2 linked regions of the Oryzias latipes genome follow. The protein of the gene in region 2 interacts with the protein of the main gene of each other region in a biochemical or structural test. Links are inferred from orthologs where the notes say so. Each region holds a gene or a part of one and is shown on either strand. Other genes may lie near its edges. The genes, in order: cebpg and CCAAT/enhancer-binding protein beta.

Evidence for each region.
Region 1: the proteins of CCAAT/enhancer-binding protein beta (region 2) and cebpg form a complex in vitro, tested with the Homo sapiens proteins (2 studies listed by BioGRID and IntAct, with this or other methods). The link is inferred for Oryzias latipes from reciprocal best matches to the Homo sapiens genes CEBPB and CEBPG.

What each region holds. Positions count from the first base shown.
Region 1 is NC_019861.2:37,761,292-37,776,920, reverse strand, and holds cebpg (CCAAT/enhancer-binding protein gamma), read left to right. Parts: upstream 1-1,171; 5' UTR 1,172-1,280; exon of another isoform or gene 1,281-1,419; intron 1,420-5,837; 5' UTR 5,838-5,938; coding exon 5,939-6,427; 3' UTR 6,428-7,144; downstream 7,145-15,629. UniProt on the Homo sapiens protein: Transcription factor that binds to the promoter and the enhancer regions of target genes. Binds to the enhancer element PRE-I (positive regulatory element-I) of the IL-4 gene. Binds to the promoter and the enhancer of the immunoglobulin heavy chain.
Region 2 is NC_019865.2:21,864,277-21,879,317, reverse strand, and holds CCAAT/enhancer-binding protein beta, read left to right. Parts: upstream 1-6,005; 5' UTR 6,006-6,201; coding exon 6,202-7,062; 3' UTR 7,063-7,534; downstream 7,535-15,041. UniProt on the Homo sapiens protein: Important transcription factor regulating the expression of genes involved in immune and inflammatory responses. Also plays a significant role in adipogenesis, as well as in the gluconeogenic pathway, liver regeneration, and hematopoiesis.

The sequences.
Region 1 (15,629 bases), on a different chromosome or scaffold from region 2:
TGTTCCCTCTGGATCTACCTTCATGCAGTCTTCTTTTTGTAGTTTTTCATATTTTGATACAATCTTTTTGTTCAACCCATGGAATAAAAGCTGAAAGTCTGCACTTCAATGGCATCCGAGGTGTTTTATTTCAAATTCACTGTGGTAATGTACAGAAACTAAATTAGAAAGAATGTGTCTCTGTCCAAATATTTATGGTCCTGACTGTAATATCCAAGCAGATTTTCTTCAAACTGTCAGAGTAAATCCCAAAGTCTCATACTTAACATCACACAGGAACTTCAATCTCAATTCATTTGACAATATCTCAGTTCTTTTTTTTACTTTTCTGGTTGTTGTTTTTTTCTTTCTGGTTTTTCATCTTCCACCATAACTTAGTGATGAGAGCTTTGGTGATCCAACATCATGAGCCGCCTTCACGTAGGCCCACCACTCACAGGAAGAACCACAAGGGCCAGTCCTGTGGGACCTGGGGAGTGGTCAAAGACGGGGGCTTCAATGCCCCATCCTCCAGTGATGGATTCAAGCCATCAAGACATGGAGGGTCGCCTCAGTGAGCTGGAAAGAACCAAAACCTGTGCGGGAGGCCGAACGGTGAGTGCCTGGAGAAACCTGGGGTCACCTCCACCCACAGTTTGGACTCTGAAACCCTTTAAGACCGGGAGACGGATGGAGCGGGAGACCGACAGGTGGATAGGTGCACAAACCTTTCGGTCTGTTTGCTGTGTTCCTGTGCAGGACATCCTGAGGCAGTGAGCCAATCAACTGAGAGGAAAAATGACTCACATTAAGCGACTTCCCCTGAAATTCACAACCAAAGTCGCCTTAAAACCCAACAAAATTAAAAAACATCAAACTGAAGGAAAATTACAGCAGATTTGAAATTTTTATTTTTCCTTTCAAATGCTTTCTTTATGTTTTTAAACATTATATTTGACTCGTTGTCCGGTGTCAGAGCTCACCTGTAAACAGGTGTAGTTGCAGGACGGTTACAAACAGTGCCTCGTGCTGCAGGTGTTTAACAAGATGGTCGTTGAAGGCATCACAGTTTCACAAGAGTGATCTCTAACGTAAAGTCGAACGTGTTTGAACGCATCTGAGCAGCCTCACGTTATATAAACAAAACCGTCGGGACGGCCGTCAGCTATTGGCCTGTAGGCATGCCAATCACGCGGTGCATTGCGTCATCTTGCTGTATGTCCAGCTGTGATTGGTTGAGAGGCCTCTACGCTGCGGAGGGATCGACTGCGATTGGCTGTTCGCTGACATTGCCGAACATGGTAAGAGATTTCGCAATCCGCTCCTCTCCATGTTCCAAACAAAAACAGTCGGAGCTCAGACCGACGGAATAAACTCCAACTTTGCCCCACAACCATAACCGATTCCTCGGATGGTCGGCTCGACCAACGCCCAGTGAAGGTAAACTGTGTTCGGGCTTTTTTACGGAGGCGGAGCGGCGAGCTAGCGGTCAGGCTAAAGCTAGTTAGCAGCGGAAGCTAACTGGCTACGTGAAAAGACCGATTTGAGAACTAAATGCTGTATTTTGGTGTTTGATTTCGACTGTTCGGTGAAGGAAAACGGGGTTTCGACGGAGATGAGACATCTGCCGGTTGATTCTGTGACACTAAAAGTTGTTTGAAAGTGCCGGAAGTGAAAGTGTCGGACTTGGATCAAAGTGTTCGGGTCCGGCTGACGTGTCGCTCGTGTCACGTCTGTTGTGGAAGCTAAACAAAGTGTCCTGAAAAGTGGGTTTATGCTGAGCCCCGCATGACTCCGGAGTTCCCCTCAGTCGGCACAAAGACGCCCGCTGACGATGATGCAATAGCAGGCAACCAGCCTGGCCGCTCACCCGAAGCGCTTTCGCTGCGCACAGCTGACCCGCTGCATAGCAACGCGACAGCCAATCAGAACGAAGCGCTGGATTAAAATCAGAGCAATCGTCCAATGAGAAACGCGGCTCTGAATTTCGTTCCTTTGAACGTCACCTCGGTGGGAGGGTCAAAGGAGGTGATGAAAGCAACATGGATTATTGATAAATGATCGTAAATGCCTAGAAACATTTGGTTAGGCGGGATTATATGTTTGACATAGTTTTAAGATAAAGAGAAATTAAAGGTATTCATAGAAAAAAGTAAAACCACTCCTAAAATGTACATGTAACTACAAAACAATGCAACAAATAAAAGAACACATCCATGATTTGTTGTGAATGTAATCCACTATAATAGCTGCTGACAGCTACTATCAGCAGAGCATCACTTCATCACATGGTTTCAGTCTGTCACTTAAAAATATTATCTAATGCTATAATAATAATTCAATAAAGTGTTGAAAAGTTAAAAGTTTTAAGTATTTAGTTTTATTTTTGTACTTTTTTAAGTCCAAAAATGTTGGGATCTTTGTAATTCCTGACCATTTGCTGAGGTAATTCCGTACCTTTTGACGCGGTTTGCCCTTTATTGTGGTCTTTATAACCTAGTATGGAGTTTTTCCTGATGGTTCTGGAGCTTCTGCCATTGAACCCATGCGGTCAGAGCAATGTTGTTGTGCAGAAGGGAACTTTTGAAGCCGTTTGTTGAAGTTCTTCAGATGCGTTAGTATTTACGAAGGCTTCCACGCTCATTTAAAATTCAAATTCACATGAATTTCATTTCTATAGCACCTTTCATGTAAAAAAAAAAAACAGCTGAAGGTGCTGTACGTAAAAACAAATAGGAATGCAGAAAAGACCAATCCCTGTTCATGCAATTACATAATTAAAGAAGCCCCGCACAATTAAATACACAAAAACAAACTCAAGTAAAAGAGAAATGAGGAAAGAAAAAAGCCAAAAAAGAGAGAACCCAGAAGGCGCCGTCTGGCCTGTCCTCCTATTGGCCGGGGTGTCAGCATAGACACTAACACCCCAGCCAAGGGGGAGAAAACACTCGTAAACAGACTAACTTGGATCAAAGACATGAAACAAATAAATATCTGTTAGGCCTGCACAATATACCGCAAATTTATCATTATCGCAATTTCAAGCTGTGCAATATGCATATCGCAAAAGACAGCAAATTTGCAATAAATGGTTACCTTAGATGTGGCCAAACAATCTTATGGCAGCTTGAAGTGTTTAACGGACTGAAAGAATCGCTTTCTGCATTTGACCAATCAGATGGACCCCTTCACGTTGTTAACTAATCGGATGGCGCCCTATTATGTTGCATGTTCGCCTCCTATGTCAACAAGGGTCATTTGTAGTATAATTTTTAAGCTGTTGTAATGGAATGGGAATAATATTTTTGGTTGTTTTGCTAATTGTTTATATACCGCAAATTATATCGTTATCGCAATATTAATCACTGATATCGCATATCGCGAGTTTTCCTCATATCGTGCAGCCCTAATATCTGTTAAAATATAAGAGTTACAAAAAGTATCATTTAGTGCTTCTCCACATGTCACCATCTTCAGCTGAAGGCGTTTTCACACGAAATGCATCTTTACATCTGATGTATGGATTTCAGTGATTTGGATTTATACCCTCAGCTTGCATTCACACTGAAGTGAACCGTACCAGAGTTCATCTGCAGAGCTCTCTGGTTTGCTCTTTTATTTCGTAGACTTCTCACATTTCTGGATTTTGAGGGGAAAGTATTTGCTCTAAAACAAAAAAAATGTTCTTTTTAAAATTTGAACAAAAATAGAGGAGCAGAGCTTTGCAGATAAATGCACTGACGAAGAAAGTGGGCGTGGCCCTTTTCTTTTGTAAACAATACAGTCCCTGACAAAAGTCTTGTCGCTTCTCCATTTTGTAGAAACAAAAGCCTCACTGTTAATGAATCCATTGGTTTTAGAAATGTCTCATATGAAAGCTAAAACCCTCCCAAATTATGTTCAATATGGTAAAATAAAATTGCTTCACTGAAGAAAGATTGATCAGTTAATGAACTTTCATATGAGACATTTCTAAAACCAATGGATTCATTAACAGTGAGGCTTTTGTTTCTACAAAATGGAGAAGCGACAAGACTTTTGTCAGGGACTGTAGTCCAGAGCTTCATATCAGAACGACAAAAATTCAAACATCTGTTAAATATTCTGATGTTGGTTTGTCTGAAACGCCATCAGATCTGTGATTTAATTCAAGTCACGTTGATGGAATCAGGCAGCACTAAAGGCAGCAGAGTTACTGATGATGATGTCATGTGTAGGACGATTTCAGGCTCTGTCCTGTTTTATTTCTGCCCTTCAGCCCACCCTTTCTGTTCCTTCAGCATGCATTCATGCTGCAGACCCCCCACCCAGACAGAGAGGTTTTCACAGATCCACTCTGGAGTTTGATCAGATTCAATTTCAGTCTGACGCAAAGGAGCAGCAGGAGAAATGACATCATCATCTACATCCTGACATGTAACCAAACAGAATAGGATAGTTTCCCGCCTGCGGTGTGGGCCGCACGGCTCCCCAAAGCGCCGCACACTTCAGGTGAACCTGGGTGGAGGTTACTCAGCCACCGAAGTTCTTCTGGTCTGTCAGCTTTGGATCTAACGTGTCCTGCAGCTCAGTCCCAAACATCCCAGAACTCCTGAAGAGGATGAGCAGTTGCTCAGACTCTGGAGGGGTTTCCATCTCTTCAGACCAGCTTATCCGTTACTTTTAAACGCTTCAGGAGCCTGAACGGTGCTTCAAAAATAAAGGGTGGGGGGACACACTGACTCTCTCTCCAGAAACAATAAAGTGTGATGATGAGGCAGCAGGACCGGATGAAGGAAAGCTGCTTTAATGTGACAAAGAGGCTTTGGTTCATGTCTGCACCGCTGCAGCCACGCTTTCTCACACGGAAGTAAACCAACGCTCCTCGCCACGGCGTGGATCTTTTTCAGAGCGTTGTTCTCATCCCTCTGATCCATCAGGTCGCTAAACTACAATCTAATACTGGGAGGTTCTGCAGAACTTTGACCCGCTCTGCCGACAGCATTTTAGCCGATTAGCCTATTAGCCGCTGAGCTTCATTTATTCTGATCTGAGCCGCTAAAAAGCACAGCAATCCGTGTTTTTCTATGTTACCGGCAGCAACACGGCAGAGTTTCTGTTCGGTACCATCCTAAGTAGAAACTCAGTAGTTCATGTCTGATAACAACAGAACCAGCTGCTTCTAGCTGAGGTCTTCCTGTAGTTTTGTAGAGCTGCTCAAAGAGGCTCCATGTTCTCTGCTGCCAACTAGTGGTTGGAGGTTGAAGTGGACAACAAGAGGCAGACGCTGAAGGACGCTCAGAAATAAATAAATAAATCTGTTCCTGACAGCAATTTGAATCCATACAAGTGTCACCAAATGAACTATCGCCACATTTCACCTTATGGATATTTTCTAACACTCCTCCTGTAGAGCCCTGAATTTTAAAAGCAGTTCAGACACATGACGTCATGGATTTCACAAAGTTTAAATTTAATAGATATGAGCTCTTTGGGACGATGATTTATGAGTCCACTGTCTTCTGAAGATGAATCGTTGATGATTTATTAAAACAATACTTTTTTTTTTGGCAAAAATTGTTCCAACGCAATGCATTGTGGTCTATATTGCATTGATGCATAGTGGTTTTTCAGAGACTTCTGGGAAATTTCTAGGGCCCTGGATTTTGGAATTGTAGATTCAGACAAACTAGAACATGGAGAACGCTCTGTATAGGCGTTAGGGTGGGAATTCGGCCACGTCTTATGTGTAACTGGGCCCACTAGATGGTTGTCATGGCAACATCATGAGAGGGCGGAGCTGTTACAGAGAAGTGAAGTGAAGTGTTTCTGGGTTCTCTATTGGCGGTCCTCAGGTTCTGAACTTCTCTGTTCCTCAGGCTCGCTGCAGCTGGACCGCCCCGCCCCGCCCTGCCGCGCTCCGCCCCCAGAGCCGTCTCTCCACCTGAGGAGATCAACTTAACAGCTGCGGAGGATCCAAATGAGCCGGCCGTCACAGCCGAAACACACCACAGCTGACCACAACGGCGTAAGCGTCATCCAGAGCCAGACCCACGCCTCCTCCGCCCTGCCGGCCGCCGCCGGCGGACTGCAGCAGGTCCCACAGCTCATCCCAGCCAACCCTTCCGGCGCGGGCGGCAAGGCCCTCCCCCCAAGCAAGATGAAGAAGCCCCCGGCAGACAAGGACAGCGAGGAGTACAGGCAGCGGCGCGAGCGCAACAACTTGGCGGTGAAGAAGAGCCGCATGCGCAGCAAGCAGAAGGCGCTGGACACGCAGCAGCGCGTCAACGAGCTGAAGGAGGAGAACGAGCGGCTGGAGGCCAAGATCAAGCTGCTCAGCAAGGAGCTGAGCGTGCTCAAAGACCTCTTCCTGGAGCACGCCCACAACCTGGCCGACAACGTGCAGCCGCCCGCCGGCACCGGCGGCTCCAGCCCCGCCCCCAACAGCACTTCTGCCAACGGCCAATGAGAGGCGGAGCTTCAGGGACATCAGGAAAAAAGCCTCGTCTCCAGGGCAACAATGCTTTTTCACCCCAAGCCCCCTCACCTGGGACTTTCAGCAGACTGTCCAAGTGAGACCACAGACTGAGGCCCCACTCACAGGAAGTCCCTGTTTTTTATGGTATCCCTTCAAAATAAGAGTTTTAATCTGTAGAACTTCACTACATGTTTACGATGATCGGACGCTTCCGCTCATTTGAAGAGCAGACGGGCGGAACCAGACTCCTCAGCTTTGTTTAAATCCTTTAAACCAGCCGGGTCGTTAGTGGTCTGCTGACGCGGCCTGAGCGAGGGGGCGGGGCTCAGCGGGCCGCTCGCACACTGTAATCAGGGGTGTGGGGTGTTTGCCAGGAGCACCCCTCCCCGCAGGTGTGGTTCTGTCTGAGCTCGGGCCGTGTCTGTGCAGGTCTGAGCGGCACACCTCAGTGGACGGACCCGGATCGCCGCCGCGCTTCAGTGGAGCCAGAACCGGCCTGGCTGCTGGCCCGCTGGAGCCTTTTTCACTTTTCTATCCTCGTTTTTTACTCGTCATTCCAGCAGCAGCATGGTTTGAACAGGAAGTGTTTGCATGCCTGTGGGGGTGGGGGTGGGGGGGTCAGGTCCTCTCGGTTCTGCTCGTCGTCACTCTGCTTTTTTTCTATCAGCACATAAATGTGGTAAATTAAACGTGCGTGTAAAAGTTGAAGTGCTTCCTGTTTCTGTCATGTGACCTCTGATGTCATCACCGCCTTTACCTGAAGACAGGTAACAGCCACTTCAGATTCACAGGGTTATTGTTTTTAGGGTGAACGAAAACCAAAGCTGTGAAGGAGGTGGAGTCTCCATGAAGCTGGCCACGCCCACAAGACGTTGACAGATGAACCGTTTTTGATGAACTACAAATGCGTCGTAGAAAAACGAGCTTCTTCTTCTGGAGCAGACGTTTCTGTGGAGAACCAAAGGAATTGGATCGGTCAACCTGGAGACGCTTTTGCAGCCCATAGGGAGAGTCGGTTCTGGTCCGGAGTTCTACCCGCAGACCCGAATCTATCTCCCTGAAGGAGCGGAGAACAGCAGCGGTGTGTCCCGGTTCTTCTGGTTCTGGTCCAAACTCTGGCTGCAGCGTTCTGAAGGAGCATCCAGCCTGAAGGGGCGTCTCAGAACCCCACCTGCAGTGGGCAGAACCTTTGATTGACAGGCTGTGTCGGCCGTAGGAGGTGTGGATCGATGGTGGACGTGAAATGTTTGTGTTTTGAACTTTTCCTCTGCAGTTTCCTTTGGTTCCTCCAATCAGAGACGTTCTTCAAAGATAAAGTCCCACATTTGGTGTGTGACATTTGTTCCCCACATGTGACCCTGCAGATCTGAGCTGGAGACACAGCCTGGATGTCCAGTCACAGGCCGGACACTCTACCACAAGGCCGCTGAGCTGGTTCTTCACCCGGCTTTTGGGTTCTCTTCCTGGTTTCAGCAAAGCGGTTCTAGTTTTTCTATCATAAGGATCAACAGACTGAAGAGATGCGCTCCTTAAGGATCCTGAAGCGGTTCTCACTCTGATTTGATTTGATTTGTGGAGCTTTTGGTGTTTTTTACTCGTGTTTTAGGAACTGATTGAGCCGCAGAAGAGAATGATTGAAAATCGGTACCAAACCAATCAATGGCGGAGCAGCAGAAAGTGGGTCATGTTGGTCCGGTTCTCTGGTCTCTGCTCTGACTTCCTGTTTCTCCAGAACACATTCCTGAACCCCCCCCAGAACCTCATGGTTCTGACCCGTAAACCTCCAGATTTCTCTTGTGGGGCTGCAGAGCCTCAGAACTGTCTTATCAGAGCGTGGAACATGCGCTCAGACGCTCGCCGTGTGTGCGCTCAGATAAGAGGCGAGGTTATCAGGCGGAGGTGATGAAGCACCTCCAGCCGCCGGCCTTTAAAACCACAGTGAATGATTGACGCCATGACCTCATCGCCTCTTTGTTTGTTGCTCTGGCGAGCGGTCAGACGTCTCTGCCTGACACACAGCCGCCGCTGCAGCCAGGTCTAAAAATAGCCGAGGAGGCTCGGAACCTCCTCCTCTTCATCATTCAGGATCAAAGCAGCAGGTAGATTTTCAGCTGTGCTGCAGCAGCGCCCCCTCCAGGCGGAGCGGAGCGGCAGGGGTCTGGTTGAGCTCCAAACCGTCTTCTGGAACTTTCCCAGACGTCTGTCGGGTTTTCCTGCCGGCCTTTGGACCCGGCGGCGACTCCGATAAGAAGTCCAGACTTCCAGGTATTTAATCAGAGGAGCTCCGCTCTTCTCAGTATCTCTGGAGGCTGCACACCTCCTCGCCACCAGGCATCTTCAATACGGGCTGACGGAACCGGGTCACAGGAGAGGATGTGATGTGACAAAAGCCCGGTTCTCCATCTGACGTTCTCACTAGAGCCTCATCCACAGACGGACAGAACGTGGGAAGACCAGGGTTTGAAGAGGGTTCTGCTCTGTTATTGAGGAGGAGGCCACAGCCATAGAAGCACATCCACTAGATCTGTCCTGAAGAGCCTCCTGTCAGTCAAAAGACCACGCCCCCTTTGCTTTAAGGCTGTTTTACGTCTGCAGCTCCATTAGACGGCAGCTTCCTGTAACGAGATCTGAACATCCGCCCAGCGTCTCCTGATGATCCAGACCCTAAGCAGACCTCCACGGAAACCCCTTCCATGTCTGTCCCAGCCCCGTGATGCTGTGACGTGTGGAAGAAGCGTCCGGTCACACGGTACACGGCTCTGTCATGAAGGTCCCCGTTTCCCTCTGAAGCAGGAACAGACCAGGAGGTCCTGAAGACAGGAGGAACGGTTCTAGAGCAGGACTGTGGGAACCCAGCAGAACCGGACTGGACTGAACCAGCCTCCAAGTATATTTCTGTGTGTGTGTGTGTGTGCCTGAGTTTGTGTGTGTATATTTGTGTGTGTGCCTCTGAGTTTATGTGTGTGTGTATTTGTGTGTGTGTGTGTGCCTCTGAGTTTGTGTGTGTGTGTGTGTGTGAGTTTGCGTGTGTGTGCGCCTCTGAGTTTGTGTGCATTTGTGTGTGTGTGCCTCTGAGTTTGTGTGTGTGTGTGTGTTTCTCTGTGTGTGTGTATGTGTGTGAGTGTGTGTGTGTGCCTCTGAGTTTCTGTACATTTGTGTGTGTTTCTGTGTGTGTGCTGCCTTTCTCTCAGTCTTTTTCTTCTGCAGTTTGCAATCTGCTCTTTTTTTTCCCACGATGCTTTGCTTCCGCTCCACGTTGGCAGACCTGAAATCTTCTAAAGCTTCAGATATAAAAATGAACGATGACCTGCTCCTCCGACGCCAGAACGGATTTGCTTGAAGTCGGCCTCCTGCGAGATTCTGGCAGCGTTCTTCACGCAGAAACATCTGGAAAACGTGTTCTGGACTCGCCTCTCCTGCAGGAAGATCCGTGCACGGACGCTCAGCTGCAGCCTCCAAACCAGACGGATGGAAGGTGACGTCACAGCTTAACGACAGAAGAACTGGACCAGAACCGTCTCAGTCCGGGCTCCTGTCATCGGACACGTCAGGTCGATGGCAGAACATCTGTCTGTTGAATGAGGAGGTGATGTTCTCCTCGTGTTATTCAATAGACCGCACCCATTAACCGCGGCTCACACAGACCAGAACCATGTTCCAGAACCATGTTCCAGAACCATGTTCCAGGACAGAAACGGACCTACTGAATGAATCGGCTCCATCCTCTTCCAGCAGGAAAAGGTTCTCACGAGAACCTACCTGATGCTTTTGCACCCTAGTGGTCATTCCAGGAACTGCACAGAGTTGTTTTCATGGTGGGTCATTTCTCTTCGCTGAGGTCCACCTCGTGGTTCTGGCTGATCCAGTTACAGCAGAAGAACTGGGACTGACCTGAGGCGAACAGAGGATGAACCTCAGCTGGTGGATCCGGATTGGTTCTCAGATGTTTCCTGAGGAGGAGGCCGAAGGTGAAAGCGATTATTCTGGGATGGATGGCGAAGCTCTCGGAGCAGCTGTCAGACCTCCAGACGTCTGTGAGCAATCAGAGCGGCAGTGATTGACGGGCCGGGTCGGGCTTGTCAGGAGGAATTAGGTGTGCGGATGGGAGCAGGATTCATGGCGGAGGCCGTTAACGTCAGCGGGAGTTTGGCAGCGGCCCTCTCCACGCCGCTGATCGCTTCCAGGCCTCACAACTCGTAAACAAGATCAACGCGGGCTGCGTGTCAGCGAGCCGCAGCGGCGGGAACGCTGACACACGGTTTCAGAACCGGAGACCGGGTCAGAGGGCCTACCAAGACCTGGACGGACAAACCCCTCCTACAAAAGCAACACTCTGTGTGTGTCTGCGGGCTGTTTTGTGTTGTTTTGGAGGCTTTGTGTTCTTCTCAACTCAAGTAGTTGTCCTGAGTTTGTGTTTAGTTTCATTAATTTGTGAGTTTCCTTTTCTCTGAGATCCTTTTTGTGTTAATATTGTCTATTAGTTCTGGTTTTGTGTGTCTGCAGCAGCTGTTTCTGCTTCTGTCAGAGACGACCTTAACCGCCCCGCTAGGCGCTGTGATGCTCTGTGTGTGTGTTTGTGTTGGTAAATGTGTTTTTTTGTTGTTGTTTGTACTTCTTTTTTGTAAATTCCATGAACCAGCTGTTGGAGGGTCACAGCCAACCTTGAGCATGCTCAGTGTGGATCTGTTAGTGTCTCCGTGTTTTTGTGTAGTTCCAGATGGACGGAACGATGATTTATGAAACTTCTTTTGGTAAAAACAACAATTTTTTTCTTTCAATTTGAAAATCCTTTCTCACTTTCTGTGGGAAAGATCGGAACGTGAATTCCAGTGTTTGCAGATGATCTGGTTCTTTTATCTTCATCATCACAGACCTCCAGTTCTCTCAGAGCGGTTTGCTGTTGGGACCAGGTAACCTCCATGCTTGAGGTGACGGTTCAGAAAAGGTTCCAGGTCTGGACCGAGTCAGAAGTTGAAGTACCTGGACGTTCACAGGTGAAGGTTTGATGTAGCGTGAGGTGTGATGGATGTGTGCGTCTGCTGTCATGGTTATGTGGTTCCGTTTGCTGTGGTGGACAAACATCCGAGTCTGAAGAGAAGATCTCGATGTACCAGCAGGCCTATGTTCCCACATCAAGTTGTTTTTGTACACATTCCTTCTCGTCTCGTTCCGACCTTCACCCTGACCACGACCTGTCCGTCATTGATGAACGGTCAAATGCTGCACATGGAGGCAGAAACGTTCTTCCTGCGGGCCGCTGCACGGCCAAAGCTGCATCTTAAGTCCATTTCATTTAAGACCAAATCATCAGTTTTTGGTTTTATGGCACCAACGAGTGAACTTCTCCTTTTAAAATGTCTCAGCTGTAAAAAAAAAAAAAATCAGCCTTTGATTAAAAATGTTTAGTGTTTTTCATGCTGTGGCAGTAAAACTGCATGTTAGATTTCAAATGTTTCCACTGACATAAACTATGTTTGCTACATTCATGTTTGTCCGGGTCGAGTCTTTGGTATATTTTAGTGTCATCTGCGTAAAGTGACAGATGAAGATTTCATTCATGAAAATTGGGATCTGGACTCTAAAACTTTAAAGTAATCATGAAGGGAAACTTGACGATTTCCAGAGGACTTATTCATTTAATGAAATTCATGTTATGATTTTAAACATGTTTGGAGTTAGGATTTGTAGAGTTTTAAGTAAGTGAGACGATTTCTAAACCAGCTTTGAAGTCCCGTTTATTAAAGGTGTAAACATAAAATAAAAGAAATCATCAGAATTTAGAATTCATCAGGAAACAATAAAAAAAAACGTAAATCTGAATTTTAAAGGAAGTGTCATAGTGTTAACAAATGTAGCCCACAGCACCCCCTGCTGGTAGCTCCCTTACTTTGTTCAGTCTTAACAAAACGCTGATAGTGTTCCAGGTCTTTCAGGGCTGTTCTGCCGTCTGCGGCGTTATCTCCAGGCGACCCGGACACGGCCAGGTGGATGATAGCTGCGCGGCTGCCGCTTTGTTTTATTGTGTGCCGTATCTCGGTCATTCCAACTGTGATAGAACACGCTGTCTGAACCCTGCGATAGCGAGGCACCGCTATGGCAGGCCATTTTAACATTAAAAGGCTAGACTGGATGTGTGTTGCAGATATCTTTATTTGAGTTTTGCCTAGTCAAAAAGAACATTTCAGATATCCGCAACTACATTCTTCCTATCCGTAATCGTAATTTTAGATATCCTCAAAGATATTATTCCTAGGACAAATGACATCACTTTCACCATTCATTTGTATGGGGTTTACAATTACAGATATCTACAATTCAGTTGCAGATATCCACTTCATGAATTACGGATATCTGTAACTGAATTGTAGATATCTGTAATTCAAGTTTCAGATATCTACAATTTCATTCTTACTAGTCAAAACTCAAGTTAAAGATATCTTTAATTCAAGTCAATTTAAGATATCTACATGTTCCTTTTCAGATATCTTAAATTAAGTTTTGACTAGGCGAAATGACGTTGTAGATATCTGTAACTGGAATTGTGACTAGTCAAAATGACGTTGTAGATATCTCAAACTGGAGTTAGGGATAGTCATAATTTAATTGTAGATATCTATAATCAAGTTACAGATATCTTGAAATGAAATTTGAATAGAGATATCTGAAACTTGAGATATCTGTAATGTTCATTCAGGATAGTCAAAATGTAATTACAGATATCTTGAATTAGAGTTTTGACTAGGCGAAATGACGTTGCAGATATCTGTATGCAAATTAGGTCCGCATCGCACTTTAGGGGAGGAGCAGAGCGTGTTGTTGTAATCATTTAAATTGCACCTGCTAACTTGTAATTAGCACTGATTAGCACCATGTTGCAGCAGTACGACGGAGTTTTAGGACTAGTTTACAAAAAACGTTTTGTTTTCTTTAATTACAACTTTTATCTCGTAAATTTAGGAGATAAAAGTGTTGTGGAGTGTGTGTGTGTGCGCGCGCGCATGCGTGCGTGTGTGTGTGCTGAGATGGGGGTGAGTACGGAGCGGAGGTGTGTGCGTTGATACTGTGTGTTCGGAGGACGGAGCACCGTAATAAAGAGAAGGTGTCCCCCCCCAGAATAACTGTTTTGGAGTCGTTCTTAATCCGCACTGGAGGTTTAGGGTTCCGATCAGGACAGTGAACCCCGAGGAAGAATCGCCTTCGGCGGAGGAAATCTCCCCTGCGCTTCTGACAGCGGTCGGAAAGAGAGAAAAGAAAAGAGAAAAACACCAAGTCTTCCGTTTATCGGAGCCTAGCTTTATTTCCGGATAGCTTTAACCGAAGTGATTCTGAACCTTTTGGCGACTCAAAATCAGATTATTGTCAGTGGAGCGGGCTTTCCGGGGTTCGGTGTCGGTAAAGCGGAGTTTTATGTGTTTAATAAGGAGCTCAGAGACACGTGTGGGTGCAGAGAACCGCTGCAGCCTTTATTCTCCTTTTCATTCACATATCCTGAAGTTCATCTGTCACCTTATGTCATGAACCTGTCATCCCAACACCAATGCAGAAGTAAACAGTGTTACATACACCTCTCCTCCAGATGAAACGTCCCGATCCAACATAAAACAATAAAGAGGAATGAAAATAGTCTGTTATGTTAGCATTACAACGTGGAAAATGCCAAAAGTGCTCCTCCACAGACGGAAGCGTCACAGAAACGTAGAGATCTTGTCTTTAATGGAGAAAGAAAGGATTCAGGTGGACATCTGCAGGGACACTGACGGCTTCGTGCTGCAGAGATCCTGCAAACCACCCATCAATGAATAAAACATGAATAAATCATAAATCAAACTAACGAATTTCCAAACATTTAGAACGTTATCAATAAACATTCAGCTCACCTCTTCAACAAAGTTTAGTCGGTCTGCTGCTGCTGTGTGGCGTTCACCTGCTGCTCATCATGCTCACTTCCACTTAATATCGTAAATTTAATTTAGGACTTAAAATCTTTTAATTTTACTGTTTTTGGTGGCCCTAAATCTCCGTCGTAGAGCAGCCAGCGGGCGAAGCGATTTTTAATCGTCTTTTTAATGCTGCAGCCCGTGCAAGACAGGAGGAGCCAGTGATGATGACGTTTGAGATATCTTTAACTGTCATTCTGCCTAGGCAAAACTGAATTACAGATATCTACAATTGTCATTTAAGATGTGTGACGAGTTGAATGTCGTTTTCAATGACGTCATTGCAGATATCTGTAATTCAGTTTTGACTAGGCAAAACTGAATTATAGATATCTCTATCGGTCGTTTCAACTAGTCACAATTACGTTACAGATATCTTGAATTACAATTCCAACTATCCAAAATGTAATTACGACTAGTCAGAAATACGTTGCTGATATCTACAATGTTCATTCCGGATAGTCAAACTTAGCCTTTTGATGTTAAAATGGCCTGCCATACACCGCCCTCCTCAGGTGCCCTCTGGTCACCTGACAGACGAGCTCACAGGAACATGTGACCTGCAGTTCAGCAGGGTGACGTCACCGGCAGCTTTTACGAGCTGAACGAGACCGGTGGCAGTAAACTCCCACACGGTTAAGGTCTTTGGATCTACAGAACCGCCCTCAGCTGCTCTGCTGCATGCAGCCGCCACCCTCCTCCTCGGCTCAACTCCCACCTCCGCCGGAGCCAAACCTGGTGGAGAAGGTTGAGTCCAGGTGTGGACTGGCTCACGGTGTGTCAGGCTGAAGAGTTTTCTGCCCTGGTTGGTGCCATGATGACATCAACGCATCGTCATGTTAGCCTGTCACGTGACAGGACAAACCGCTCCTCCCAGTTGTTCTCCTCCTCCCATTGGTTCTCCTCCTCCCATTGGTTCTCCTCCTCCCAGTTGTTCTCCTCCTCCCAGTTGTTCTCCTCCTCTCTTTGGTTCTCATCCTCCCATTGGTTCTCCTCCTCCCAGTTGTTCTCCTCCTCCCATTGGTTCTCCTCCTCTCTTTGGTTCTCATCCTCCCTTTGGTTCTCCTCCTCCCAGTTGTTCTCCTCCTCCCAGTTGTTCTCCTCCTCCCATTGGTTCTCCTCCTCCCAGTTGTTCTCCTCCTCCCAGTTGTTCTCCTCCTCCCATTGGTTCTCCTCCTCTCTTTGGTTCTCCTCCTCCCATTGGTTCTCCTCCTCCCATTGGTTCTCCTCCTCTCTTTGGTTCTCCTCCTCCCATT
Region 2 (15,041 bases):
CAGGTCATGCAAGGTCGTGCAGACGTGGGGGAGGCTGTGGTATTTGTATTGTAAGCCAGAGTAGCGATGGCCAAGAAACGCGCATTCGAAATAGTGTTTAAACTTCGCGTGGTGGCATACACCAAAGAACAGTCTGGTGAGGAATCTGCGCGGCCCTTTTGGGGTGGATCCTAAACGTTTCAGAGAATGGCACGAGCAGATGGATGATATTGAGAAGACGGCTATGGAAAGGGAGCAAACGATTTCTTGGTGGAGGTACAAAGAAAGCGAGCGATGAAATAGAAGAACTTGTTTTAACATGGATTATTGAGCAAAGACGGAAAAATGTGCACCTCTCCAGGAAAATGATCCACGTGGAAGCAAAGACGATTTTTGATACGGAGATTGTTGAGGCTTTAAAGAGAAAAGAAACGTTTACATCCAGTGCTAACCAGAACATAAAACAATGTTCTAATCAATCAATAAATCCTGAAATGTTCATCTGGTGGCATTTTGTGACCAAATTTCACAGAAATATGAACCCATTAGCCGACACCGGCATCTGTGATGGAAGAAACACCGGTCTCTAATAAATGTAGGATTGGCTGCCAAATATTTGGAATAAACGCTGGGGCTAATTAAGGCAGTTGGACAATATGCACAGCCATCTTTGAAAAATGTGGATATTTGTTTTCAGGGAAAACGCAGGCACGCTGTCAAGGGCTCTAGCTTGGTGTCATGAAATGGGCGGGATCCACAAGGAGTGAAAGGCGGAGTCTCAGAGTTCAAGTCGTCTTTATTCAGGGTAGGAAAAGAGTTCTCAAAAATAACTTATATTTCACAAACAACTTGTTTGTTTGTGTTCCAGAGGTAATATATGATCATAAATATGAATATATTTTGCTCTGAAAGACTTAAGAAAAGGTTGATATAGGCCTTTAAAGAAATCTGTAAATGGAAACTTAAAATGCTTCAGAACTTGTACCTGGACCAAAGAGAGGGTTGCCCTGACCTCAGATCAGATTAAACACGAGTTCCAAAGCACAATAGACTGAGGAACCTTTGCAATGGACCTCAGTCATCTTAAATTTGTGATGATGTTGTTTGTTTGTCTTTTTTTTTTCAGAAGAAAGGCAAAAGTAATTTATTCATAAAAGAGAAATTTAAATAATTGGGGTACAGTCCAGTTCTTAGTCGATAAATTTGCCTAGATTAGACACATCTGATGTTGTTTAAAGATTGGACTAAAAGAAGAGATGTCAAAGTTTGTGGATATGTCTGTGTGCTGTGACTGTTACGCAGCAGTGCACTCCTGGAATCTCCCTCAAATTATTAAATGGGCTTTCCAGTAAAATACCACAAGAGAAACTGGTTGTATTTTTTGGAATGCAGACCGTTTATCCCACATTTTGTCTTTCTGCTCAGCTTTCCATTACTGCACTTGCATACCACACTCTTTAGCAATGACCTTCAATGTCTCCCTCCTTGTTCAGGATGCCATTGATCTTTTCCTGGAAAACTGTTACATGTAAGTTACTATTACCAAAATAAATAATAAAAAGGCTTAAATATTGGAACTCGTTGATATACAAAATATACAGATGTACTAAGCCTTATTTGTATTAAAGGTGTAAAGACTATTTTAAAAATGTCATTGTCATTTTGTCGCTTTATGTACCTGGAAGCGGCTGGATGGCCCGGTTGGCTGCGTGTAAGACTGGCACGCGGGAAATCAGGATTCATTTCCCAGCATCCATTGTGGGTTATGCAGACGCAGGGGGCTCAAGTCCAGGCTGGGGACCCTGTGGTCCGAATAAAATACAAGGTTGTGTCAGGAAGGGCATCTGGTGTAAAACACTCTGCCCAACCAATTGTGCAGATCAGTGATGGCTGATTCTCTGTGGCGTATCTACTGCCAATTTATTTTATGTATTAATCTGGCATGTTTGCAAATTTGAACCGAAGTGTTCCCTCTTGGCTTTTAAGGAATCCTTGTAGGGAATACGTAATTGGTTAAGTTAATTTCTTATTTACAAGATACAAAATAAGTTCATCATCATGTGTAGTCATAGCTGATCCAACTCCTGCAAAGCTTTTTGTAGCCCTTAAAAATGAGGCCTAACAGGTAAGCAACAGGAAGTGCCAAGCAGGTTCATTTGGAATCATCCTTAATCTGCGTGAACTTGTGCTTTGATTCCAGTTTGTGCACTTTTTTCTGTACACTTTTGGCTAAGTTTTGGTTGTCTAGTAATTAAAATTAAGGTAGCCTCAAACAGAAAACTCACAAATGAACATTACTGGAGACTTTTTGCTTTGAACACCTTCATATCTGATAGAATTTGTTATTAGCGCCACCTCCTGGCAATTTAGTAGTGCTTTTGCACATCTCTCTCTCATGGCTGACTTTGAAGAAGAATATGAGCACAATTGGCCACAATTTGTTCTAATTTATTTCTCATCATTAAAAAGGCAAAATTCACTATTTATGATTCATTTGACAATTTTTGTAATCCTTTCTTTCTCATTAAGAAGCATATCCTTGCTGTTTTAAGCCTGAACCCCCTGAAGACAACTCAAGTCTATCAGAGGTCCACACATATTCACATCTTCTTTTACACATTATAAAGAGAGATTTGAGGAGCAGATACGAGCTCAAGTGGAAGCAGTGAAATCTCCACTTACGATTTTAATGATTAGCTTCAGCTGTAAAATGCGATGCTCACTATCCTCTCAGATTTTTTTCCTGTCTGCATGCGTGTCTGAGCTTTGATACTGGCGTAAATGGCGTATATTTATATAGCGCATTTCTACCTACAAGGACAAAGCGCTGTACAGTCACAGACCCATTCATCCAGTCACACACACATTGACACACTGGTGGCCGCTCCGCTGCTGAACACAGGCGCCCGCCCTACCACCAGAGGCAAGGTGGGGTTCAGTGTCTTGCCCAAGGACACTTTGACTCATGGGCGTGCAAGGCGGGAATCGAACCTGCAATCTTACGATCATGGGTCGACCGCCCTCTGTTGGTGGGAGAACATCACAATATTGAACCACAACCAAACAGAATAGATGCATGATGATAACTAAAGGCAAGAATGTCACTGTCCAAAATGGATCATTTTACTTGATTAGTCCTTACTAGTCCAAAAACGTGCTTCATAGGTTAATAGGTTACTCTAAATTGTCCCTCGGTGTGAATGTGAGTGTGCATGGGTGTGTGATTTGTGGCCCTGTGACAGACTGGTGACCTGTCCAGGATGTCCCCTGGCTCCGGCAGCCCCGTGACCCCGAAAGGGACAAAATGGGTTCAGAAAATGAATGAGTCCTTAATAAAGCCAATTATTAATTTTAAATACATATATACAGGTAAGAAGTAAAAATATTACAGGAAACGAAAAGTACATAGAAGACGATCACAGGAGCTCCTCTGTTTTCTTTACACACCACAGGAACTTTGCCTTATTGTTCCTTTTTTTTTTCTCGTATTTTTGTTTTTCAAGTATTTCAAGTTTGTCCTGTTCCCAGTATACACTTTCCACCTTCTGTGATGCAGGTGTGATCTGATTGGTGCAGGTGATGTGAAGACTCAGTGATTGGTTGATCTTAAGATTACAAACATTACAAAAACCCCAAAAATGTTACCTTTGTTTTAAAAAGTTAGCCCATAAATAGATTTAAGTATGTCAAAACTTTACACTGAAACACAGATAACTTAGTTGGCAGTAACGCCCAACGCACTCATGATAGAAATGCAAAGAAAAAGAAAAAATAGTTTATAATTAGTTCATGTACTCTACTTCTCTTAACATTCAGGTGTTAAGTTACCCCAGTGCTGTGACTGGAAGCAGAGATAAAGCAAATGAGGGTCAGTTGTTTTTCAGGGAAGCATTCAATGAGCTCAACAGTTTACCAACAATCCACTTTATGAGAAGGTTCATGAATTTGAAATGTTTTTGTGGCCTGCAGTTCAAATTCCTTTACAAAGTTTGATGTTTCAGTGAGAGAAAGCACTGTTAAAAAAAAGACAATTCTCTCCAAACCTTAAATGGTTTCCTTTATCAGCCTTTCAAAGTAGGTCAAAAATGAAGTTGTGGTTTTTCTGTTGAAAGAGTAGTAGAGGGCAATTTTTTAAAATGAAAGTTAAGCAAAAATAAGCTGTCAGGAAATGTTTTGAATCAAAATGTTGCAGTGGCAGTTCATCAGCACAAAGATATTTTCCACTTTAATGCCCTTTACAGGTACGTGAACGAAAAATGAAGCCGAAAAATAGTGTTCCACACTCACAAGTGTCTCTGATTTGCACGAATATGCAGCGTGAGGTCAAAAACACCCAGTTGTAGCAGATATAGTGAAATATATTCATCTCAGAGGAGAAGGAAACACTTTGAATTTAGCAAACACATGTGACCATGCAGTGTGGTAGAATGTTCTCATAATGTTCCCTTTGGATTATTTTGAGGTGGAAAAACAACAGTGGACTGAACTTTATGTTTTATAACTTATGAAAGGATTATCCATTAGTTCTTTTTTACTTGTTTGTTTGTCTGTTTGAACACTGTTCAGTGCCAAGTATTAGTGGTTGAATTTTTGGTTGCAGATGTCCTGAATCAATTTAGATCAGTGAATCGCATCGAGTCGGATCAACTATTAATCGTAGCAGCAACCACAAATTATGATATGAATCAAATCGCCGTTAAAATGCATCATTGCACCCCTACTCAGAAATGTGCAGCATCAAAGTCACGTGTTTTTGTGTAACATGTCACAGGAAAAATTTGAATGCTGATCCAGAATGACATCTCAGATGAAAACGTTGTCTGTATGTGACGCTATAGGAAGAGAAGGGAGCACTCCCATGGAGGCACTACAGATGTCATCTGTCATTCTGTTTGATGGAGCTGCCTGACAGGGAGCTGAAAGTAAAATGCAAACATCGAAGAAAAGTTGGAAGCAAAGGGAAAACTTCAAACTGTTTCAAAGCAGTTTTAATGGAGCAAGAATTAAACTTAAGCCAAAAAAAAAGGTTTTTCACTCAAACAACAAAAAAATGTATACATTATCAATTTAATCCCTTTGATTTATGTGCGATTATATTCAAACATCAGCCAGGCCTGATGTTAAAAGCCTTTAGATACCATTTGGAGTTTTTTTTTCTCTCCAGTACAGTCTTGTCATGATATTCTGCACCGACCGCTTCCTAACATGCAAGTCATGGTGACTTCAAATGGAAAGTGACTACCTCTGTTTTCTTCAGCAAATCACACAAGAAATGTCACACACGTGTCTTAAAATATGCAAAAGATGCTCGAAGCACCAAATTGACAAGTGCTTGACAAGTAATTTTCTAAATACTCTTAGCCACACGGTGGCAGTAAATCCCAATTTGCAAACCAGTTTCTCACCAATAAATAAATTGTAGGTATTTCTTCTCAATCTACGTGCACGTTTAAAGCAAACGTGTAATTCTTATCTGATCTTATTCAGAGTCAGTTTATTTTTGGGGCCTCATGATTGTCCAGGAGAGGCTTCTATTTTGTTCTTGCTGTGAGTCATTGGGTCATGCTTGAAGTCATGTTGTGGGATAACACTGATCCCACGAGACAGTCACATCTGTCTTTGACGACAGTGAAATGTTTCTGACACAAACCAGCACAGTGATGGATGGGGATGTGTGCATCACTTCCACAACTGTTCATTTTTGTTTTGGAAATAATGTGTTCAGAGATGTTTTGATTACAACTGAATGTGATTTTCTGCTGCAGGAGTTAAGGAAATGTGTCCAGAAAGGAGCAAAGTAATTATTTATAATAACTTGTATTGATGCTTACTGACAAACAATGAAAGACTTCACTTTAAATAGACAACAAGTCAAGTTCAGGTTTTCGTTTGTCCCGACATAAACAGATGAATGCGGGAAACGTTCTCCAAAGTGGAACAGGTTGTTCGCTGACAGGCTCCGCTCGTCACACCTGCCCTGTTAGGCCCCGCCCCCCGCGCTGTGGAATAAAACCCTCTCGAGACAGGAAGGTCTGTCAATTCCTCCCAATCCGCCACAGAAAAAAAAAGTTGCTTCTTGTTGTTGCCACATGAAGTGACGCGGGTGCTTTCAGCTCGCTGCATTCCGACACGTTTTCTCCAGTTACTCAGCTGAACTTGAAGAACTCGGGGCGCCTCACCTCAGCCCTGCCCGCTCCTGCAGTCCGGCGGGAGTGCAGATCCATGGAAGTGGCCGGCTTGTACGAGGAGGGAAGCTTTGCTATCCACGGCAGAGACGGTATCATCAGTCCCATCGTCGGCGGCTCGTACTGGCGGCTCGGTGACTCGATGACGGAGCTGGGCATTGAGGAGCGGGAGAGAGCGATAGACCTGAGCGTTTACCTGGACCCAGCCTTCCACTGCGCGCAGCTGGCGGCGCAGACGCAGCCGCAGGGGGACGCGTACTCTGACTTTCTGGCGGAGAGCAAGATCAAGAGAGTCTCAGCTCTCCAGAGCTACAGGAACTACTCTTTGCTGGGCGAGCTGGAGTCGAGCCAGTGCGACCCCCGGCAGCCCTACTCGCTGGGCTACTCGGAGCTGCAGGAGACGCGCGCGGACAGCGTCCTGAGCCCCGAACTGAGCCGCTACAGAACCGCCGCCGCAGCCGCCGACAGAGACGACAACCTGGAAGACGCCAAGATGGAGAACGGCTCGTCCGGGTTCGACATGAGGTCCTATCTTCATTACCAGTCCACCAGCAGCAGTCTGGGGAACATCTCCACTGCGTCCTCCACCTGCTCCAGCCCGCCCGGCACACCTGCGCCCTCAGGTAAAGGCAGGTCACCGTCTCACGGCGGCAAGGGGAGCAGCGGGAAGTCTAAAAAACGATTGGACAAGGACAGTGAAGAGTACAAGCTGAGGAGGGAGAGGAACAACCTCGCCGTGAGGAAGAGCAGGGACAAAGCCAAAATGCGCAACTTGGAGACTCAACACAAAGTGCTGGAACTGGCCGCGGAGAACGACCGTTTACAAAAGCGCGTGGAGCAGCTGTCTAGGGAGCTGGCCACGCTGCGCAACCTGCTCTCAGCAACTGGACAATGTTAGGTACCCCCCTCCCACGAGAGAACCCCCCTGTGCCGCTCCCTCAAGTGGACTGGAGAGTGCACGGTGATCCAAACGGTACACAGGTGAAGGCGGCCATCCCCAGTTTACAATGGACACTGAATAAGACTGAACAAGTGGGTGCATGGATTGCGCAACCGTTCACCACTCTTTACATGTCACTGTGGCTTTTTCCTCACATGTAATGTTTGTGTATGCAGTATTTCTGTGCAGGTTTTACATACATACATTCATACCCTTGAATTTCTAGATTTTTGTGTGTGTGTGTGTGTGTGTGTGTGTCTGCAGCAATGGCTGTCAACGGGGAGAGTTGTGCTGCAGTGAAATGATGCAACTCTTTGTAATAGTATTGGCAATGAATGAAATAAGTCTAATTATTTAAGATTTAAAAAGGTGAAATGCTTTAATTGTACTTGACATTGGATTAAATAGATTTATACTTTGTTTAAAGGAATTTGCACGCTCTTTTCTGTCCTTTCCTCCGCAGGTTTAGGGTGCAGACAGGCACACAGACATGGGCGTTCACACTCAGACTCACACTTAATCCGTTACAGCATATTGCGTTGAGGAAAACGGCTGTTTTTATAATCCAGGTTTGCGTAAAATAAACTACAAATCACGAAAAGAATCCTACAGGCCTTTAAATATTTGAACCTTTGTTGCACAAAACGTTATTAATTAATCATACGTATTTCATTATAAAGTAGAAAATATAGTTCTCTGTAGTTAAAAAGCTTTAAAAAATATAGTTTGGAATCTTTTTAGTCATTGGTTTTTGTCAAATTGCACTTAAAACAAACATCTCTTGCAGATAACCTTTTACACAAAACACAACCTAACTCCTCACACTCTTTTTTTTCCTCTTTTTAAACAGGTTCATTTTCGTTTCTGTTTATTTTAAATAATTGACGCATTCTCCCAAGGGTCCTAAAATAAATCAAACCCATTTATGCTGAAATGATACTGCTGAGAGGGCAGAAAAGAGTCGGTCGCTGCACGCAGCACAGAAGTGTTGGCTTTATCTTTAGCACAGGGCTCTGTCAATAGTCTGCTGGGTCCACTGGCCTAGAGAGGGGTTCAAGGTTGCACAGAAATTAATCAACAACTAACCTCATCACACCATTTCAGGTCACGCTCAGGCAGCAGAGACCTGGCTGACGTGACAGATGCCTGTTAATCCTTTGCAAACTTTTATATTTTAAACCAAAGTTGAAATAAAGAAAACATTAAAGTTTCCTTTAAAGTGGAAGGAGCAGATAAGCTCACAAGTGGTGGAATTTTTCCAGGCCGTCAGAATGTATTTGACTGGTTTGAATCGTATCAGGCAAGCACACCCCTGACGGAGCAGATAAACAAGAGACGTGTGCAGCCTTTTCTCCTTTTTGCATCACAATTTCTTTTAAAAGCCGCAAAAAAGTCAGCGCACGTTCAGTGAAAGAAGCCTGAAAACTGCGCTTTGCTGTTTGTGCAGCGAGAGATGACATTTTGGATATTTCAACACACTCAATGATAAACTGTTTAGCTTTAGAATTATGCAACATCCTCCCTTTCCAACACATCACCACAAGAAGAGCGATGCTTGAATACGACATTGTTATCCTCTGTCTGTCTTACAATAGCTGTAAGAAGCTGTGGTTTGGTTTCAGCCTCACAGGGCAGAAGAAACTGAGTAAAAAACCAAGAACACATTTTTTTTAGCTGAGTGTAAAATGTAAGCTCAGTCTTGAAATGATCACACAAGCAGCGGGATGTTTCAGAGAAACATTTTTGGCTCGCCGTGCTGCTCCTGCGGTTTTCTTCAACGGGCCTGTCTTGGCTTCAAACATTCTAGGCATTCTTTCTTCGATGACCCCTTGTTAACTATTGGCGCTGCATGCGGGCCTCCTCTGCTCCCAGCTCGCATGCTGACAGGCCAGAGGGAAATTCCCATACAGGATGACCTCTGGAGAGTTTAGCCCAGCCTTCCTTTCCACATCTTACTGGCAATGGGCAGTGTCTATCTGTAAACTCTTCATTGCATCACAACCCCCCCTCCAAAATCGTCCCTAAAAACAAAAACTCCCAATAAAGCAACACACACGTACACCTATCATCCTTTTGTCCGCTTTGTACTGGTTACGAAATAGAAGAAACTTTTCCTCCCCTGAGTCATGCTAAGATGAATGAAGAAGTTCCTCAAGCTTTGTTTTGGTGATTTATAAACACAATCTTATTTTTCACACATTGTTCAGGAGTTACACAGAGATAACAAAGTCTATTATTCAACTTAAGCCCAAATATTTAAAACAGTGTTCAGAAAATAGCTCTGGGCACTTTCACAATGTGCTGTTTGGTCAGTACCATATTTTGTTTCCTCAGGTGATCTGGGTTTTTAGGGGAGGTGTGAAAGTTTACTCTTATGTTGATCAAACGAGTTAACTGTGTTCACAATTCCACCTTACGTTTTACTCATTCCACTCCCGCTGTACCATATGTGACAGTACCTCTTGAAACCACTAGGGGCAGGTTACAGAGGAGAGCAGTTTTCCATTGAAATCCCTGTTAAAAAAGCCAAAACTTACACCAAAAGTAACAGTAAGATTTTTTGCTAATTGTGACAAATGAGAAAGGTATGAATAAAAGAATTCTGATTTTATTAGAGCTCAATTTTTTTTTTTTTTTTTTTTTTTTTTTGGTGGGGGGGCATGTTTTTTGATTCTATGAAGGCAGTAAAGCACTAAATAAGTTTACCATTTACCAAAGCTGCTTTAGGGTCAAACCAACAGAACTTCAATGTTTACTTTGTCCCACCCAAAAGCTGTTTTTTTTTAACAATGTTGAAGTGAGCCAAGTGAACTCCAATTAACATCCCCTTAAAGTCCCATTCCGATCATCTTAATCTATTGGAAAATCCTTCCCAGTGGTTTCTTATTTACGTTTATTTAATTTTTATTTCTAAATAAAAAAACTGTGTCGATTTCTATGATATAGTTTCTGCAGAGGGGCAGTAGTTGATAATCCGGTTATTTGGGTCTATGGTTCACTAGCAAGTGTACTGTGGGGTGTTTCAGCAAAAGTGTAAACGCAGATGGACTCTCCAGCTGACTAAAATGTGGAAGCAAACCAAAATAATCCATGGCGTAAGCACTGTGCATTTTCAGTTGGGGAAAAACACAGCCCCTAGCATGAATCCAAGGAAGTGGCAGTCAAAAACATGTCATCTTAATAAATAGGTTGTTGCAGAAGTGAAGGCACTCAAATAAATCTATGCAAGTCTAAAGACTAACAGGACTAACCAGTTTTCCCTCTTTTGCTTCCTCATCGCCTTTTCCTTTTAGGCTGCTCCCTTTAGGACTCGCCACAGCTAATCATCTGCCTCCATCTAACCCTCTCCTCTGCATCCTCCTTGCTCACACCAACCACCATCAGGTCCTCTGTCATTGCATCCATAAAGCACCGCTTTGGTTTTTCCTGGTAGCTCCAACCTCAGCATCCTTTGACCAACTGTCCCTTTTTTTCAGTGTGTCCAAACCATCTCAATCTGCTGTCCTGCATTTATCTCCAGAAAACCTAACATGAGCTGTTGTTTTCATTCTTCTAAGACCTTTTTGTCGCACATCACACCCAAAACCCTCTTTCACTCTTCCAACCCTCTTTGCAGACATCTTTCCTACACTCTCTGTTCCTCTGGACAGTTGACACTCAGAACGTTAAATCCTCCACCTTCTTCCCCCTTCCCACTTCAGTTCTTCTCATTTATGAACAGATTCTCTGCGGCTGATCTTAATTCCTCTCCTTTCCACAGCAAACCTCCACCTCTTTAGATGTTCCTCCTGTATCACCCTATGCGCCTCACTTTTTCTGGAAAAATGTTCGCCACTCCTTTTTTTTCATTCTTTTGGTGAAGTTCACCACCATCTGTCCTCCTGCATACCTCTCCTGAACACTATCACTTCCTCATCTACCCCCCCCCCCCTCCTCCACACGTCCATTAATGTCTGTCTAATCACTGGTCTCTCCCCTCTAGAACTTCTCCTTCTCCTCCAGCTCACATCCTACTTGATGACCATAAGACACATCATCCAACATCACACCTTCAACTCATCTTCCTATCTGACCCCATGTTCAACTCCAGAACATTTTTAGCAAACTCCTCCTTCAGGATCACTCCCATTCTGTTCCTCTTTCCATCCACATCATGATAAAAACAGCTTGAACTCTGCTCCCAATCTATAAGCCTTGTTCTCCTTCCATCTGGTCTCCTGAACACACAGGATATCTAATTTCCATCAACTCTCTAGCTTTGCCTGTCAAAGTTCAAACAGTTTTTAAACTTCTGCCTGGATGTTTTTAATGATTGATACACTTTTTTTTATTTTTAAAGAACATCAGTATTAGTCATTTACTAAAAAGTGATCCTTTTAGAGCAAAATGCAGATGACCTACAGAGGAAATAAGTGCCACTCTAAATATCTTTTCATCTATTTTCAGTGGTCTCTCAATTATGATTAGGCAGTTTTTAGCCCAACTCAAACTTGTGCAGAGCAGAAGGCGTTCATTAGAAATTTACCTCTAATGTGTAACTCCTGTCACAGAGTAAAGCATGTCCCCACTTCCCATCATCCCTTTGTTGACACTTTTAGCCAGCTTACAGCCTCCCACTACTCCAAGCTAACATTACTGGTGCAACAATTATGGTGAGCATGGTGTAGATATCCAGTCGTTCAGTTTTGAGCCAATGAATCTATTTGTCTGTAAGTAGATGCACTGAAATGGAGCAGAGCGGGGAGCTTGAGGCATCCTGTTGTATTTTTTTATTATTTTTACATCACAACTACAACCTTCAAACTGCAGTTTTCGTCTGCTCCTGATTCACAACGATTTGAATACAAAAAAAATCTCAGAAATGCAATTTTCAGCATATTTTTCTTTATAAATGTCCTCCATCCTTAAAGCAATGAAACACAATTTTCATCAGAGTGGGTCTTTAAAGAAATACTCTGAACTTGTGACCTGTAAAATTGCCAGATCATGAAGTTGTGCAGAATCCTGCAGTGGGGATTTGGATCCACCTCAGAGTTATTATCTTTATCCTGTGACGAAATGCTTGTTACCCCTTAGCAGCCAAGATAATCAGTTGCCAAAGAAGACAGAGAAACTTAGCATCCAAGAAAGAGACAGTTTATTAATGCATGATCTTTGTGGAATTTCTTCATAGCGAGACACATTTAAAACATCAGCGGTTGTTTTATTAGGAAAATGAATGACTGTCCTTCCAAAAGTGTGTCCTGTTTTACCCTGTTCAATAAAGGTTTAGTTGGTAATCCTTAAGGTGCTAAAATAAAAGTATTTGCATTAAAGTGAGAGCTTTCTGATTCCCCTTCATAAACAGTACTGCAAAAGTCCTTGCAATAGGACCTTTGCAAAAAGATTTCCTACGTTTTGGAGACTGTCTGACCTTTGCACTGGTTACCACACTTTTATTGATATGTTCAAAAAGCTTTAAAATGCAACATGTTTCCTCATTCTTGTTGAAATGTAATGGGATCCAGTTCAACCATTTCCACCACTTTGCTGTATATTAATTCACAAGAAAAAAAAAACAATACTTCCTGAGAAATGCTTCTTCATGATGACAATATTTTTCCTCCAACACTAAACAAAGGCTTTGAAATTGCTTACTAATCAGGCTTTCATTAGTCGGAGCAACGCAAGACTTTCAGTGATCATTTTCAATCTCATTTGTTTTCATGTCAGCCCTGTTAAGAGGAGCTCAGAAGTGTTCCTGTGGCGGTAAATGGGTTTTCCCCTTCGATTGTGCCTGTTTTCAATGTGGTTTCAGCAGCGGGTCTCGAGATCAACGCCAGCTCTCTGTCTTGCGTCTTGTTTGCTTAGATTTCTCTAAATGTTTTGTGGCGTCGATGATGACATTCTCCGATTAATTTTGAAATCTGTCTCCAACTGTTGTTGCCTTTACCCACAAAGTTTGATCAGAGTGAAGACTTCACCTCCTTTAGTTGTGAAACACTCAGATCTGCAATTACATGATATTTGAAGACAAGCAGGACTGAGAGGCATGAACGAACTCCCTCCAAAAATTACAGCCCCTCTTTTGACAAAAAACAATATTTTTTTCTAAATTTACAGTTGGTTTTAACACTGTGATTTTCATGAATTCCAGTGTCTTCGCTCACTGAAAACCGCACCGGACATCCGGACCAAAGGTTGTAACGGGAAACCAGGCTGCATAAGATACGGTAAAAGGACCAGAACATGAGCTGTCTTGAAGTGAACCAAAATTTCAACATCTTGGTTCACTTCTGCTATTCTGTCGAATGGATGACTGTGAAAGAGACAAAACTGACGAGCAAAAAAGTAACTTGTGGTCACTACACAGCAAATGCCACTGCACAGATCTTGTGCAACAGCTCACTTCCTTGCACAATGACCTCCCGCTGATTATTAGAGCGTTATTAATGTCAACGTTTTAACGCACCATGATGTGGGAAAATGTAAAAAGCATCACAAGTTAAAGTGGGGGAAATACATTGATAAAATATTATTTTCTACTTATAAAAAATTCCATTTCCTCTTCTACTTTATATTAAAGCCCAAAGTGCTTTACTGTCAGCCCCATTTACCCACACACATTCATGGAACCAACCTGTAACCACCTGGATCAGTGTGGTTTTTTATTATCTTGCTCAGAAACACTTTAGCAAGCACGGTGGGAACTGAGCCCAATACCTTCTGATCAGAGGTCGTCTACTATACCTCTGCACCACAGCCGCTTCAGATTTTCAAAAAGGTCGGTGGGTTGTAACATTTGAACCCCTTAAGACCCTTGATAAAATCAAACCCTCATGAAAAATATTGGGCAATAAAGCAGGTTTACAACATTTGATTAATGAAATTGATCTTCACAAAGTAAATGGACTACCTGTTGGTAAATTCCATAAAAAGATCTTCATTTCAAACTGTTTCTGGTACTTTCTTTAAGTATTTGTGCTTTTCTGTTAGTTTCTCAATAAGAGTTCATGATATTTCACTTCTGTTGAGTTGAAATGAGAAGTTCCACAATAGAAGGCGTTTTCATATTCAATAAAACTGGTTTTAGGATAGAATATGTAAAAAAAAATCAAAATTCAATTTAATTGTGTTGAATCACTGATTCAAAGGGATTTGGTAGCTTGGCATTGATGTCCTACCAGGATATTTTTGAGCACTTAAAAAACTTGTGGAATACTAATAGTTTTTTCTTTATTTTATTTTCATTGAGATTCTTTTTTGGTTCTAGGCCCAACATACACAAGGCATACATTTACAAACTAATATCTGTCTGCATTCAGTTATGAAAAGGAAATATTGTAAAAGATAATAAAAAATTCTAAGAGTTGATTTAATACTAAATCGATTTTATGTGAAAGAATATTTGTGTTGACCTAACCTCTGCCTAACAGTGGATCCTCTTACTGCTGGATTTTAGTATTTGTGTTTTCCTTTAATCTATCCCGGTTTCAAAGAAAACAGAGATCTGCACCACAACCCTGTGAAGGTGTCAAAGAGTTTATCAAAGTGAAAGTTTGGCCGGCCGCACTGTTCCTCAAAGCGCTATTCCAAAATTTCCTAGATTACTAGACATCTGACTCGCTGGCAGTTGAGCCAGCATCCGGTTTTACTTTGACTGCATTATGGAAGTGAAAACTCATCCTCCTCTTTTTAAGGGACTGTCAAGAAAAATGAAATAGTGTGCGTTCAACTGTCTAAATGAATGGAACTGCAACTTAAATAGTCTATTATGAAAGTCTACAATGAAATGAAAAGTATATTCATTAAACAAATTTAAGGATAAAGCAACTATAGGTGAAAGGGAAGTCATGATTTATGCTTTAAATTAATACTTTATTTATTCATATATTGTTCCAGATTGTGGGCTGCACAATGGAGTAGTGTTTAGCACCTCACAGCAAAAAGGCCCTGAT